Linked DNA regions of Notamacropus eugenii. The protein of the gene in region 1 binds, or shares a complex with, the protein of each later gene. Links are inferred from orthologs where the notes say so. Each region holds a gene or a part of one and is shown in the gene's direction. Other genes may lie near its edges.

Region 1 (7,284 bases):
GTTACCATCATCGTGTATATTGTTTCTTGGCTCTCTACTTCATTCTTCATTAGTTCATGTGGGTCTTTCCACACTTCTCTGTTTTCATCACATTTATCATTTCTTACAGCACGCATATAATGTTCTATAACATTAATATACCACAGTTTATTTAGTCATTCTCTAATCAATGGGCATCTACTTTGTTTCCAATTCTTTATTATAAAAGGTATACTATACATGTTTTGGTATATGGGAACTTTCTTTTAACTAATGGCTTCCCTGGACTTCCTTGGACCCATCAATGGAATTTCTAGGTCAAAGAGAATAAACATTTTAGTCATGTTATTTGCATAATTGCAAATTGCTTTCCAAAATGATTTCGTCAAATCACAGCTCCACTAATACTGGGTTATTGAGTTCCATTGTTTCTAATTCTCCACAGTCTGTTCAATTGGTCTACATTTATGTTTTAGTGACTGCTGCTTTATAACGTAGTTTATTCCCTTTTTGTCCCTAATTTCTTTTCATCATTTTCTTTAATATTCTACATCAGTGGTGTCAAGCTCAAATAGAAATAGGTTCCTATCAGTTCACATATTGACTTAGAAAACTACAAATTAACATTATCTGTGTTGTAATGTATTTAGCATTTTCCAATTACATTTTAAACTGATTCAGGCCCACAAGGGAGGTCTGTGGGCTGTAGCTTTGACTCCTCTCTTCTTTTATTTCTCCAAATTAGTGTTGTTACTTTTATCAAATTTTATAAAGTATTCCTCTGATAGAATGAGTGGCATAGTATTAAAAGTATAAATTAACTTTGGCAGTATTATCTTTTTTAAATATGGGCAGGACCCAGCGATGAACATTGAATATTCCTACAACTACTTGTTGTTCTTTTGACTACTTTGGCAGATTGATCATTTTGTAATTATTTGTGGTGGAAATTCCCTTTCTGCTATTGCCTCTTGAATTTTGTTATTATTATATAGAAATGCAGTTGATTTTTGAGGGTTTATTTTGTAGTCTACCACTTTGCTGAAGCTATTATCTCAATGTATTTTTGCTGATTCCCTAGGATTTTCTAAGCATACCATCATATCATAAGCAAATAAGTGTTGGGGGTGTAAGCTCAGTTCCATGTGGATAGTCTCGGGTGGGTAAAGGTGAGAACTTCTAAACCTTAGAGTTCTCATGAGGCCCCCCAGGGAACAGCAGGGAATTGAGGTGTGAGACCGAGCTATCTCGTGCATTTCCGCCTCTTCCCGTGGGAAACGCTGGGAGAGAGCATCCCCGCCCTTGAGATTGGCCCGGGTCTGAGCACACCTATTGTTATCTAACAGGCACGGTATTCAGGTGCAAACTATGTGGCAGGAGAGCTTAAGTAGGGTCAGGAAAGCCTGAAGGCGCTCTTAGCGCTGAGGGACCCTTACAGGACAGAAGGTCCCTCTCCCCTCTCTCCCCACTTCCACTTCTGCTTTCATTCTCTTACTGTAAGATCTTTGCCTCCTTGGGAGATTTCCCTCTCTCCTAAGGAAGAGTTCCCCCTGCACATGTAACCAAGACCCTGAATAAAGCCTAACCCTCGTTCGACTCTGGAAAGTCTCTTCTCTCATAAGTTTATCCGGTTTGGCCAGCCGAAGACCTGCGATAGGTAAGGTAAGACTCGGGTAGCCCTCAGGCCTCTAGGCCTGGCAAATAAGGATAGTTTAAATCTCCTCTTTACTTATCTTTATGCCTTTAATTTCTTTCTCTTGTCTTATTGCTATTGCTAGCATTTCCAGAATTACATTAAATAATAGTTTGAGAGTGGGCATCCTTACTTTGCTGCTATGTTCAGTGGAAAAGGCTCCAGTTTTCCCAGTTGTTTATGATGTTCACTTTTGGTTTTAGAAAGGTACTTTGTAAGATACTTAAAAAATGGTCCCTCTATACCTATACTTTGTGGGGCTTTTTTTCATTCATTGTAGGGCTTTTAGCATAAATGAATGTTGTTCTTTGTCAAAAGCTTTTTTTGAAACTATAATAATCATAAGGCTTGGGATGTTTTTGATTTTAATATGAATAATTATATTGATTGTTTTCCTAATGCAGAAGCAACAATCCTTCTATTCCTAGCATGAATTCAACTTGATCAAAATGAATGATTTTTTGGATAGTAATTTCATCTTTAAAAAATAAATCATCAGTGGAATATTATTAAAGATCAAAGCTGTTTGTTCAGAACAACTGGGATTATTGGAGAGTAAGTGGAGGACACAGTTTCAAAAATTTACCAATGCTTTTTATTTTTTAAAAAATGACAGCCATTTTCTGATATAATCCCTACCTCTCACAGTGAACCCTCCTTTGTCATAAAGATATTGTTAAATAAAACCCCACTGACTGACAGCATATGTAGCATTTCTTACCCATCTCTCTAATGAGAGGAAGTAAATGTTTCACCACTTCTTCTTAGGGATTAAGATTGGTTATTGATATTACTATGAATTCAATTGCCTTTTAGTGCAGTTTTTATTTGCGTTGTGTTGGCCGTTGTGTGTATTACTTCTCTAGTTTTGCATACTTTTGTCTGCCTTGTTTCATACAAGTGTTCCCAACGACATGACTTACTGAATGAATGAAAAGGCATTATTAAATGCCTAATATGGGCCAGGCACTGTGAAAAGTGTTAGGAATATAAATATATAAATACAAATAATATAAATTTGAGTAACGTAAAACTATCAAGTTTAATCTGCATCATTAACATTTTCTCTTCCTTAAGTCTAGACAATCAAAAAAACATATCAAGCCCTGATTTCCAGTGTTCGCTGATTTCTGCCCTGTAAACGCCCACGCTGAAAATTGAGCAAGAGTAAGCTGACCAGCATATCCATATATAAAGGGGAGCTACAGTTGAAAAACAGGACATGGTCCTTGCAGCCAAGGAGTATTGTGGTAGCCTGGTTCCAGGAACGATAATGTGAAATCTCACCTGTCAGAGACCAGGGTGGGGGGGAGCGAGATATGAGTTCTGGAGAGAATGCGAATGCAAGCTGTGTGGTTTGGAAATGACTACGTGCGTGTAATTTTACAGCCTATTTTTGTTATTGAGTTGTTTCATTCATGTCTGATTCATCATGACTCCATTTGGGGTTTTCTTGGCAAAGATACTAGAGTGCTTTGCCATTTCTTTCTCCAGATCATTTTATAGATGAGGAAACTGAAGCAAACAAGGTTAAGTGACCTGCATGGGGTCACATAGCTAGCAGGTGTCTGTAGCTAGAGTTGAACTCAGTTCTTTCTGATTCCAATACCTGCACTTTTTTCACTGCTTCACCTAGATGCCCAGCCTAAGGGCCCTCCATATGAGAAGTTGCCTCTTTCTTTTAGCCACTTTTTTACTAGGCATCTCCTCTCCTCAGACATAAAGTCAAAAAATTTTATAGGGCAGCTAGGTGGTATGATGTGTAGAGCAGAGGGCCTGGAAGTAGGAAGACCTGAGTTCAAATTTGACCTCATTCACTTAATAGCTGTGTGACCCTGGGCAAGTCATTTAACCTCTGTTTACCTCAGTTTTCTTATCTGTAAAATAGGGATAATAAGAGTACCTACTTCCCAGGATGGTTGTGAGGCTCAAATGAGATAGGTGTAAAGAACTTAGCACATATAAATGTTAGCTATTGTTTGGTTCAATTTCCTCATTTTATAGGTAAAGAAATTTGAATCCTAGAGACTCACCTAAGGTTGGTTAACACAGTGGATAGAGCCCTGGACCTAGATTCAGGAAGACCTTAGTTCAGATCTCCCCTCAGACACTTACTAGTTGTGTGACCTTCAACAAGTTTCCTTGTTGGTAAGATGTGGAGGTCAGACTTCATTTTATTTTGCTCTTAAATCCATATATGAGGAGTCAGATCCTAGGAACCTGACTCTCACTACAGGGCTTTCCCCCCAGACCACTGCCCCTGTGAACCGATACACTTAATACCCCTGTAGCATGAACTTTTCAAAATCAATTCCAGGGGAGGCTGGGAAAGGGGTCACACAAGAGAGCAGCTTTTAGTCACACACACATACACAGACACTTGCATGTGTCAATGAGTGGCTGGGGCCCTGGTTCCAGTCTACTTAGTAAATATGTAACTTGAGCCTATACCAAGCCACAGTGTTCTCTGGGGTAAGTGTGCGTTGATTTGGAAGCTTTTCCGATAAAAGACGCTTGCATCCACATGTTTGGCTTCGATCTAGTCAGCCCTGGCGCCCTTGGCCTGAGTGATGTCATCCCTCCTGCCAGCCAGAACACAGGAAGGCTTCGGAATGTCTCTCATCCCCTGTCCTCCAGTATAAATATAGCTGCAGTACCCCCAGACTGGAGAAAGGTGTCCTAGGACTTTTGGTGGAAAAGGCAGCCTGAGTCCCTGAGTTCTGGAGTAAGAGGTAAGCCTGGAGTGGCTGGGGACCCTTCTTCTCTCTTCTCCCTCAGTTGTCTGTAGGTGATCTTGGCAACTGGGGCCAAGAAAGATTAAGAGAGAGGGAGGACAGCGCTGGAAAATAACAATAACTTTGAATGGCAGTAGAGGGCAGCTTGTCTGGGAAAAATCAAACTGGGAACACAATGAGCCAGGAACAAGCTGCTTGGTAGGGAACTTTTGACAGCAGGAGGCTGAGGCAACAGAAAGAAACTATTGAACATCTCATTAATTCTCTTTGCCTGAAGTTTTCCCACTCTGCCCCCAAGAGGTTTTTGGGGGTTTTTTTTCCTAATTTTTTGGTTTTGTTTTACAAGTTCCAACTCCCTTGTGAAATCATGAGAATGAGACCATGACTGTAATAAATGTGTCCTCTCTACTTCTGTACCCAAGACTAAAGATGGGGAGAAGGAGGCAGGCTTGTGTTATGCAGCCAGGATAGCCCCAAGTCAAAGAGGAGAAGGCAGCCAGTGCTATGACTGATGGTAGGCAACAGCATGGGCATGTGAGGAAGGAGATGTGGAGGCCTGGCCAGATCCTCAATCCCCATCGTTGATGAGTCTTTTTGAGAAAGAAAAAAGGAGCTTCAACCTCCCAGGAGATTGAAGGTGAAACTCTCCCAGATAAGCTGGGTTCTGCATAATGGAAGGAGCAAAGGTTGATTAACATGGTGGATAGAGCCCTGGACCTAGATTCAGGAAGACCTTAGTTCAGATCTCCCCTCAGACACTTACTAGTTGTGTGACCTTCAACAGTTTCCTTGTTGGTAAGATGTGGAGGTTGGACTTCATTGCCTTTATTTTGCTCTTAAATCTATATATGAGGAGTCAGAGCCTAGGAACCTGACTCTCATTACAGTGCTTTCCCCCCAGACTGCTGCCCCTGTGAACCGATACACTTATACCCCTGTAGTATGAACCTTTCAAAATCAATTCCAGGGGAGGCTGGGAGAGAGGTCACACAAGAGACCTAGTGCAGACATGGTTTGGCACCCTCCTTTTTCCTTCCATCAGCTCCCTCCAGAGAGTAATTTGAGGCCAATCTGCCTACCACTTTGTGATTGTTTTGTCCTGGCTGCCAGGCCTTGGAGCCCCAAATAGCTGAAATTGAAATAAAGGGGAGGGGCAATTGAAGAAGGAAAGAGTTAAAAAGGAGGGGGAATGAGCCAAATGGGAAAGAAGAGAAGAGGGAAGATGAGGGAAGAACTGTGAGATCTGCAACAGATGGAACCATCTTTCATTTTCAAAACACCAGCTGCATCCTATCTAGAAACATAGGCTTGTTGGGGATGGGGTGAGAATTGGGGGAAGGGGAACAAAGCTAAAGACTACAATTGAAGGGGAAAGAGTCTTTAGCTTGAAAAAGATCCATGAAATTGTTTAGTTTGAGAGGGTGGCCATAAACTGCAGAAAGGGCTGAGACGGGGAGAAGGGAGTGCATTTCTGTCTTATCTGGATTAAGCAGCCCCATGCCCTGCCTACATATCCATAACTGCAGAGAGCTTATTGGGCAATTGATTCCCAAAGCTTTTACTGTTGACTCATTTAGATGAGAAATCATTTGGCAAATCAGGCTTTGCTTGGAGTGGTTCAGAGGATATTTCCTATTTCCCTTCTTCATTATATTTATTTGTTTGTTTTAAATCTAAATATGTAATTTCAAGCAGACACTTCTGGTGTGGAAACACCTTCTAATGATGTGGTTCTTTAACACAAATTTAGAATATTGTCCTGGGTAGAGAAAGCATAAGTAATTTGCTGAGTATCAAATAGTATCTAAGCCAGGATATGCCTCCCCAGTCATTTACGTTTGGTAAAAATTGTAGGTAAAATCAGAATGCATAAACTGGGGCAAGGGTTGGGGCATGGTGAAGAAAATCTTCAGGCTTTAGATTATGTCCAGGTGAACAGGATCAAGATTTGAAGAGACTGTGGAAACTGAAGACATGAACAGAAAAAGGTTAAGATTCTTCTCAATGACAAAGGTAGGTTATTATGTGTCTAGCATCGTGGTACGCAAGATGAAGGAAAAGTAAATACAGGACATACAGTTGTATAGATACAAGATAGGAATCCCTGGTCATGTCAAGGACAGTAGAAAAAAAGTCTAAGGATCATAGTGGACCACAAAGTGATGTTGTTCAGCAGTGGTGTAGTTAAAATTAAAGGCTGTAGTTAAGAACTTAAGCATATTTAAATCATACATAATATCCAATTTTATAGTATGGTATGTTTTTTAATGATGGGTAGATATTAACCTCCCTGAGGGCAGAGTAAGAGGAGCTGAGTTTTTGAGTAGCATTGGGTAGCACAAACAGAACTGGATTTAAAGCAGAAAGAGTGTTACTTTTGGAGTTAGAGGACCTTGGTTCAAATCCTGCCTCAAATCTGCCTCTGTTGTATGACCTTGGACAAATCACTTAACTATTCTGGGTCTCTCTTTCCTCATTCATAAAGTGAGAGGGTTGAACTGGATGATATCTGAGTTTCTTTCCAGCTCTGGATAAGGATCCTAGGATCCTATGACCAATGGAGAGGATAGGGAGCCAGGTTTTGGATCAGGAAGATCGGAATTTAAATCTGATCTCACTTACTACCTGTGTGATCTTGGGCAAATCATGTAACCTCTGTTTACCTCAGTTTCCTCAACTGTAAAATGGGGATAATGATAGCAATTAACCACAGCGTTGTTATAAGGATCAAATGAGATAATTTGAAAATACATTTTTTTATGTACTTAGCACAGTGCTTATACCCCGTTTTAATACTTACTAGCTGTTTGACCAAAAGCAAATCACGTAATCTGATCTTGTTTCCTCATGTGCAAAAGGAGGATAAGGAAGCCTGTA
Region 2 (7,543 bases), about 370 Mb from region 1:
CCGCCTGGTGGGGCCCTATGTGCCCTTGTGGCTGGGCCAAGAGGCAGGGCTGTGCCTGGACCCTGGGCCCCCAAGTCATGCCTTTGCACCTTGTGGCCACGTCTGCTCTGAGAAAACAGCCCGCTACTGGGCCCAGACACCGCTGCCCCACGGCACCCATGCCTTCCATGCTGCCTGTCCCTTCTGTGGGGCTTGGCTCACAGGGGAGAATGGCTGTGTCCGCCTTATCTTCCAGGGCCCTCTGGACTAGGGCAGGAGTGTGAGTCTCCTGGCTCCAGGCTGAGGTCCCCCAGCTCTGGGACCCAGGTCTCTTAGCTCCTGCTGTATCAGACTAGAGAGATGGGACAGCCCTCTGGGGCTGCCGTTGGTGGGACTGAAAGGCACCTCTGGCCCTGGCGGCACTGACTCGTGGTGTCTGTAAGATGAAGCAGTTCCCCCCCAGGACGTCTGCCTGGATGCTCGCTCAGACTGAGGGGGGTCCAGGTGGAGGGAGGGGTGCAGATCACATTCCCGGATCTGCATCACTCTCCAGTGACGGCTCCTCTGGATTGGCTGGAGTAGGGTGGGGTCCCTGTGGCTCTCCTCCATTCACTATCTGATGGACAAAGTCTCTGGTGCCAGGATTTCCCCTCTTGCTTCATCGGATCCAACGTCTAGGCTGGTCCCGGGGACGCCTCCGCCCCGCACGTCCCCCATCATGCCGTGTAACACTGTGCCCTGGCGGCAGGGAAGGAGGGAGTCTGGGAGGGTGGCATCCCCTCCCCCCTGCCCTGCCGTGCTGCTCGCCCCCTGGCAGAAGAGCCGTCCCAGGCCTGAGCCCTTTGCAGTCTCCAGCTGCTCAGACCTTCCTGCTGCTACCCCCCGGGTCTCTTTATAAACCTCACTGCTCGGCTGCCCTTCTCTGGTGTCCTGTGCTGCCTCTGGTTATTGGGGGGAGGCAGGGAGGCAGGGACAGGGAGGGGCCTAGAGAATGAACCTAGTGAAACCCTCCCTGACCCTGAGGAGGAATCTATCCTAGGAACAGAGAGAAGAGCATGGGGAAAGCCCAGCTGAATGAGCCCGGCGTCCTGCAGCTGATCAGGAGTGGAGAACCCCCTTTCTCTGTCCTCCCAATATGCAGTGGCCCATCCCATTTCCTAGGTCACATAGTGCCCAAGCTCCACAACCAGCTCTCCTTCAGGGGCACTTCCCCAGGTATGGCCAGGCTGTATGCCCACTTCTGGGGCTGTGACCTGGCTAAGTCCATCAGAAAAGAGGGAGAGATGGGCCAGCTCCCTGCAGAGGATGAGTGATTGGGGGGGGGGGGGTTGGCTGAAGGGAGCTATGTCCAACATGTACATGAACAAACAAGCCCAGCTGGCATCACCAGCGCTGGAACTGGACTAGACAGCCCTGTGTCACCCTGGGGCAAGGCTGGCCGAGCATCCTCAGGACTCAGCCAGTCTGCTGCTGGAGAAGGCGCAGGATGGCCTTAGACAGGGCTGGATCAGTGAGCCGCTTACCTGGTCAGCAGCTTCTGAGAGGAGGAAGAGTGCCATCTGCTCAATTCCTGTGATGATTCTTGCTAAACGCATTTCTATTCTGTTGTCCAGTCATTTCAATTGTGTCTGACTCTCTGTGACCCCATCTGGGGTTTTCTCGGCAAAGGTAATGGAGAAGTTTGCTGCTTCCTTCTTCGGCTCATTTTACAGATGAGGAAACTGAGGCAGACACAGTTAAGTGACTTGCCCAGGGTCACACAATTAGTAAGTGTCTGAGGTCTCCTTTGAACTAGGGTAAATAAGCCTTCCAGACTCCAGGCTCTGCGCACCATGGCGCCACCTAGCGGCCCATGTAGGCTGACAAGGAAGTAAAAATCATGTCAAAATGTAACCATTTCTAAAATTGCACAATATTTCTAGGTCGTTATTTTAAATTGTTGCATCCCATAAATTTTAGTGTCCTGGGACAAAACCAATCACCCTTCTTTAGTTTCAGCTCCAGGAAGCATATCGAGATAATCAGATGCTGATATTTTCCTGTTACTATAACTTTTAAGGCTTAAAAAGTTTCTTCCTCAGAACAGCCTCCTGCAGCAGTGCAAATATAACTACCCCATTTAGAGATAAGAAAACAAGCAGATCGACCTGGCCACAGTCACGAGGCTCAGTGATGTTGTAACATCAGGTCTTTCACCTCTGTCCTTTGCCCTCTTCAATAAGGAGGCCACCAGGCCGTGGCACAGGGCTAAGCTGAATGGGTTTTTTCCAAATGTTATGATGGCTATCTTTTCATTTGATCTCCACAACAACCCTGAAAGAAAGGTGGAAGAGATAGAATCACCCGCATTGTTCGGATGGGTTATTATTTTCTATATGTAGGAGTAAGAGCACTGAATTTGGAGCCCAAGGTTTGGGGTTTACATTCTAGCTCTGCTGAGTAGTGATATCTGTGCAACCTTGAGCTAGTCACTTATTTCTGGGAGTCTCAGTTTGGCCATCTGTTAAATGGGGAGTTAGGTTGCTCTAGCCAAGAATTCATCACTCCATGGCCAGCATCCTGGGGGTGAACTTCTCCATTCTAATCTAGAAAGCAGTCTCCAGCCTTGGACAGTTTGTTTCATCCTCCAAAACCCCTCCAAGGTGATAAGACTTACCTGTGCTTGCATTCCACTGGCAGTGCAGGGTCACTTCCATGTTATACTGAGCACCCAGAGGGGGATTTCAGGCCCAGAATTAAGTAGGAGGAGGAGAGTAGGCCCGGTGGCCTTTGAGATCTTGCAAACTTCTTCTAATGACCACGGGCATCTTCCTGAAAGGAAGGCCTGTCTTTTTAATGCCAGCCTCTTCTGGAAGACGGGCGGTACCTGTGGGTCAGGGAATGTCATGATCTCTGAAAAATAGAGGTGAAAATCTGCCAAAGGCAATGGAGAGGACTATGGCAGGTGGGTGTCCTCCAAGACACAAGTTAAGTGACCCAAAGGACAAGAGAGCCACTGGACAGATGGAGCACTCTACTGGTATGTTCTAGACTTCAAGTGAAAGCATGGAAAGGCCACGGCACTTTCAATGTGAACTTTGGGGAGGCCAAGGACAAAGTTAGACAGGATGATAAAGCATCATTAGTGGAGTTAGAGTCAGAAGGGACTTTGCAGGTCATCTGGTCCAGCTCCTGCATTTTACAGATGAGGAAAATGAGGACCCGAGAAGTAGAGGAGAGCACAAGTCTCAGCTTAGGGCAGTTAGGGATTGCAGGAAGTATCTAAGAGAATGCCAATCACAAGATGAGATCCAAGAGGTCTAATCTAAAAAGATGAAGTATAATCAAGATAATGTAAAGTTTGAAACTTGGGTCCAAATAAATCAACCACACAACCAAGTGACATGGGGTGCCTGGCTAGACATGTTCCTATGACCAAGCTCTGACTTGCCCAAGGTCCCCCAAGTAAGTTATAGAGCCAGGATTTAAAGCCGGGTTGTCCTGCTCCGTTCTGGTATCTTTCCTGTACAAGACGCTCCTCCATCATCCCAGAGAATACCCCAGGGGGAGGAGAGGGCAGTTAGCTGAGATCTAAGGTCCTCTCTTGCTACTGGGGCCCTCCCCAGCCTCCGGGCTTGTCCCTGCCTAAGGGAAGTCGGGGACCATGTGGTCAATGGGACCATAAGAACGTGGAAATCACAGAGAAAGGCCTCTGGGGAGAGGAGAAGTGAGAGCCCAGAGGCAAGCGCCTCAGCCCACACCACCCAGCCTCCTTTCTTTCCAAGCGTCCTCTGGGTGACAAGGAAAGTGGGGGAGGGGGTAACCAAAGCAGCCTGGCAGCGCGAGAGAGGAGAGCCCTGGGCTTGGAGGCCCAGCCTCGGCTTTCTTTGGTTCTGTTTTGTTAGCTTCCAGCGGGAAGGGTGAGGGCAGGGAGGCCTCAGGTGGGGCCACTAGCTGCCCCTCAGGATGCCCACACTGCCCGCGGGGGGCACCACCGGCCGTCTCTTCTGCTTAGAGACTCGGGCTAAAGAGAGGAGGCGCGTCTGCACGTGGGCCACACGTGCTCGGCCATGACTGCAGGCTTGGGGACCACGCGAGGCTTTGGGGGGCAGCCGGGGTCCTCCATCCGCGCCCCCCATCGGGGTGACTGACTCGGGGAGGTCACCCTCAGTTTCCTCATCCGTAAATGGGCCGGAGAAGCGGAGGCGGCCCCGCAATCCTCTCCGCGGCCTGCTTCTTCTCTCACCCCACGCCCTTCATCACGGCTCCCCAGCCGCCAAGGCCCCGCCTCAAGGGCCACCTCTCACGGTACAGACGACTAAGCCAGGCCGGAGGGGCCCCGGAGAGGCCCGGCCTATAAGGGTCAGAGCCACCCCCGGGGGAGCGAAGGACGGAGATCCCGGAAGGGAGCGGCGCGCGGGCCAATCCCCAGCAGCCCCGGCAGCACGTGCGGGAGGAGGCGGAGACAGGAAGGAGGGGGGTGGGGCCGGCGCGATGGCCCGAGCGATCATTGGTCGCAGGCCATGCCGGTCACGGCGAAGGCGGGCACTGATTGGGGGAGGGGCGGGCGTCGCGAGGCCCCAATGAATGAGCAGCCGGAAGCAGGAAGTGAGTGAGGGAGTGAGGGAGTGAGGGAGAGAAGCAGCTGGTGCAGGTGAGGGCACCCTGGCGGGGGGCAGAGGGCGCGGAGCGGGGTGCAGGCGGGAGCGAGGGACCCTCTCTGCACCCCGGCCGGGATCTCCTAGCCCTGGAAGGTTCTCGATCAGGACGGAGCCGGGGGGAGCCCCGTGTGCCGGCACGTGCCAAAACGCAACAGCCCGGGCCCCTGCAGGAGCCCCCCCACTCCCCACCCAGGGAAACTGAGGCCCTGGGGTAGTGCTGGGACGTGGGCTTGGCGGGGCCCTCCAGCCGCCGCAGGGCATCCAGGGCACCGAAGGGCGGGCCAGCATTCATTAAGCGCCAGCTGTGTGCCCAGCCTGCCCACCACGTGACGATCGATCGGAATAGCCCGTGCCCTGGGGGAGCTTAGCCTAATGGGGAGGGGGGAGAAGGGGGGGACCAGAGGGAGAGGGGCTCCGAGCTCCTCCACGCCTTGTCCGGGCAACCTCCCCTGCGGCCGCGCGCGTGGCCCCTTGCCAGACCCTGGGGGAGACGCCAGAGGCTTGACTCGGGAGGATGCCACTTGCCCGGGGGTCAGGGTGGCTCCTGGACCTTCGCCAGGGCCGGGGGCAGGATGGACAAATGCCTTCTCACAGCGGAGGCAGCTCCTGGGTCTGCGGGGGGCCTCAGCCTGCCCCCCAGCTGCTGTCTCCCGCTTTACAGACGAGGAAACTGAGGCAGGCAGGGGCTCCGTGAGAGCCCGACGCTCCTGACCCCCCAAACCCCCCAGCAGCTCATCCCACCCTTCTTGGGCAGTAAACTCACACCCTAGGAACTTCCCCACTTAGAGGAGTCCCTGTGTGCACCATTCCCTCCCCATGCCCACGGTGCCCTCCCCGCCTCGTGCCCCAAACCCTTGTTGCCAGCCCTGAGGCCGCAAGTCTTAATGCTCTTCTCCTTCACATCATGTCCTGGGTGTTTTATGTGGACGTGTGTGTGTGTGTGTGTGTGTGTGTGCGCGGGTGCGCGCGGGTGCGGGTGCGCCGTGTCCTCTGGCCGGAGCAGACCCTTTACAGAGCTTTGCTGACTCGTTTCTGCCCCCGCCTCACCTTGGCAGCCACCATGACGGACCCCCAGTACATCCTCCCCAACGACATCGGCGTCGCCAGCCTCGACTGCCGGGAAGCCTTCGGCCTGCTGTCCCCCACGGAGAGGCTCTACGCGCACCATCTGTCCCGGGCCGCCTGGTACGGGGGTCTGGTTGTGCTTCTGCAGACTTCTCCCGAGTCCCCCCACATCTACACTCTCCTCAGTCGCCTGTTTCGCGCCCAGGATCCTGAGCAGCTCCGGGAGTGTGCCCTGAAGGAGGGTCTCACAGAGGACGAATATCAGGTGTGCCCCACAGCTAGCTCACAGTTAGGCTGCCTCCTGTCCCCACACCAGGGGTCCTCACCACCAGGTCGGCAGCAGCCCTTCCTGTCCTCTACACACACAGACACACGCACACGCACACGCGCGGCCTCCATGCTCTCTGAGCAGAACCCCCAATGCTGCAGGCCTGGCCCTCCTCTCTTGACCAATTTCCTGCCCCCTCAGGCTTTCCTGGTCTACACTGCTGGGATCTACGCCAACATGGGGAACTACAAGTCTTTTGGGGACACCAAGTTCATCCCCAACTTACCCAAGGTGAGGCAGGAAGTGGAGAGGAAGACTGGGGGGAGGTTGGGGGATTCCCCTGACCTGGCTTTTGGGGAGGGACTGTGAGCATGCACATCTGAACTCGAACCTCTTTTTTCTTCCCCCACCTCCCACCTACCTCATGTGCAGGAGAAGCTGGAACGGTTGGTGTTGGGGAGCCGAGCTGCCCAAGAGCAGCCAGAAGTGATTGAGGGGCTCTGGCAGATCTGTGGGAGCCTCATGTTCTCCCTGGAGCCCCAGCAGCGTCATCTGGGCCTGGGAAGCGAGGTGAGAGCCTGCATTGGAGAGATGCCATGCCATTGGGCCGGGAGCCAGCAGGCCTGGATTCATGCCCCAGGTCCACCGTAGACTGTGTGTGTCTGTGTCTCTACGCGCTCACACGCATGTCTATGAGAGAAGCCATGTCTAGTTGGGACAAGACACCACAATGCCGTAGAAGCGCTCGGGATGCGAATCCCACCGCGATCTCTTTCTCTGTCAGAAGAGAGGGGTGGACGAGGTCAGGGGTCTTCCTCTGGCCTGTTTCCTGGGCCCCTGCTCACTGTCACATCTGGTAGTTCGTGTGATAATTGAAGGAGATGCTCAGTTTCCCTGAAGATGAGTGAAAACAGAGATGCTAGGTGTTTGTTCACAGGGTCCAGGCGAAGGTCTCCAGAGTCCAAAGTCCACTCCTTCTAGGGGATAGTGGAACTGGAGGGGAGAGAAGCCCAGCAGGGGATGCTCTCCTTCCTTTCTGGGTGATTCTATGGCTGGGAGCCTAAGAGGGAGGGGGAGAGTATAAGGATGTGCTGGGCGGGGTCCAGGAGGAGGACCAGAGGATGAAGGGGACTGGACATTTGAGTTGAAGACGTCCAGGAGAGAGAGAGGAAAGCAGCAGCAGCTGCAGGGCCACTGGTAGGGATATGGAAAGAGGAGGACCTGAGTTCAAGTCCTGCCTCTGACATTAGATGCATGACTATAGGCAAGGCCCTTAATTTGTATGAGCCTCAGAATCCTCACACGTTTGCAGTCCTCTGTAACTGGGGGCAGCAGGAAGGCTCACATGGAACACGTGAGGCATGAGCTGAGCTCTGAAGGAAAGTGGAAATTCCAAGTGATAGAGGTGAAGAAGGCAAGCCTTCTAGACACAGGAGACAAAGGCACAGAGGTGGGAGATGGACATTTCAGGGGATTTAATTTAGCTGAACTTTGACCTTGACCCAGGAGCAATAGGGGGCTACTGCATCATTTTGATTGAAAGGGAAGTATGGTCAGATCTATACTTTAGGAAGATTGCTTTCCCATCTCC

The links. The genes of interacting proteins can lie anywhere in the genome.
Region 2: the proteins of AGT (region 1) and DPP3 are in contact, whole or in part, in a crystal structure (PDB 5E2Q), measured with the Homo sapiens proteins. The link is inferred for Notamacropus eugenii from reciprocal best matches to the Homo sapiens genes AGT and DPP3. Residues at the interface, in NP_001369746.2 of Homo sapiens: Asp25, Arg26, Val27, Tyr28, Ile29, His30, Pro31, Phe32; in NP_005691.2 of Homo sapiens: Phe109, Glu316, Tyr318, Glu329, Phe381, Gly385, Ile386, Pro387, Ala388, Gly389, Ile390, Asn391, Ile392, Asn394, Arg399, Val412, Leu413, Val415, Ala416, Phe443, Val447, His450, His455, Glu507, Glu508, Asn545, Arg548, Leu552, Glu555, Phe556.

What each region holds. Positions count from the first base shown.
Region 1 is NC_092873.1:387,183,592-387,190,875, forward strand, and holds the start of AGT (angiotensinogen), read left to right. Parts: upstream 1-4,284; 5' UTR 4,285-4,404; intron 4,405-6,343; exon of another isoform or gene 6,344-6,420; intron 6,421-7,284. UniProt on the Homo sapiens protein: Essential component of the renin-angiotensin system (RAS), a potent regulator of blood pressure, body fluid and electrolyte homeostasis.
Region 2 is NC_092873.1:19,046,969-19,054,511, forward strand, and holds the start of DPP3 (dipeptidyl peptidase 3), read left to right. Parts: upstream 1-4,532; 5' UTR 4,533-4,612; intron 4,613-5,674; 5' UTR 5,675-5,679; coding exon 5,680-5,949; intron 5,950-6,153; coding exon 6,154-6,243; intron 6,244-6,384; coding exon 6,385-6,522; intron 6,523-7,543. Other genes in the region: PELI3 (E3 ubiquitin-protein ligase pellino homolog 3), read left to right, coding at 1-250. UniProt on the Homo sapiens protein: Cleaves and degrades bioactive peptides, including angiotensin, Leu-enkephalin and Met-enkephalin. Also cleaves Arg-Arg-beta-naphthylamide (in vitro).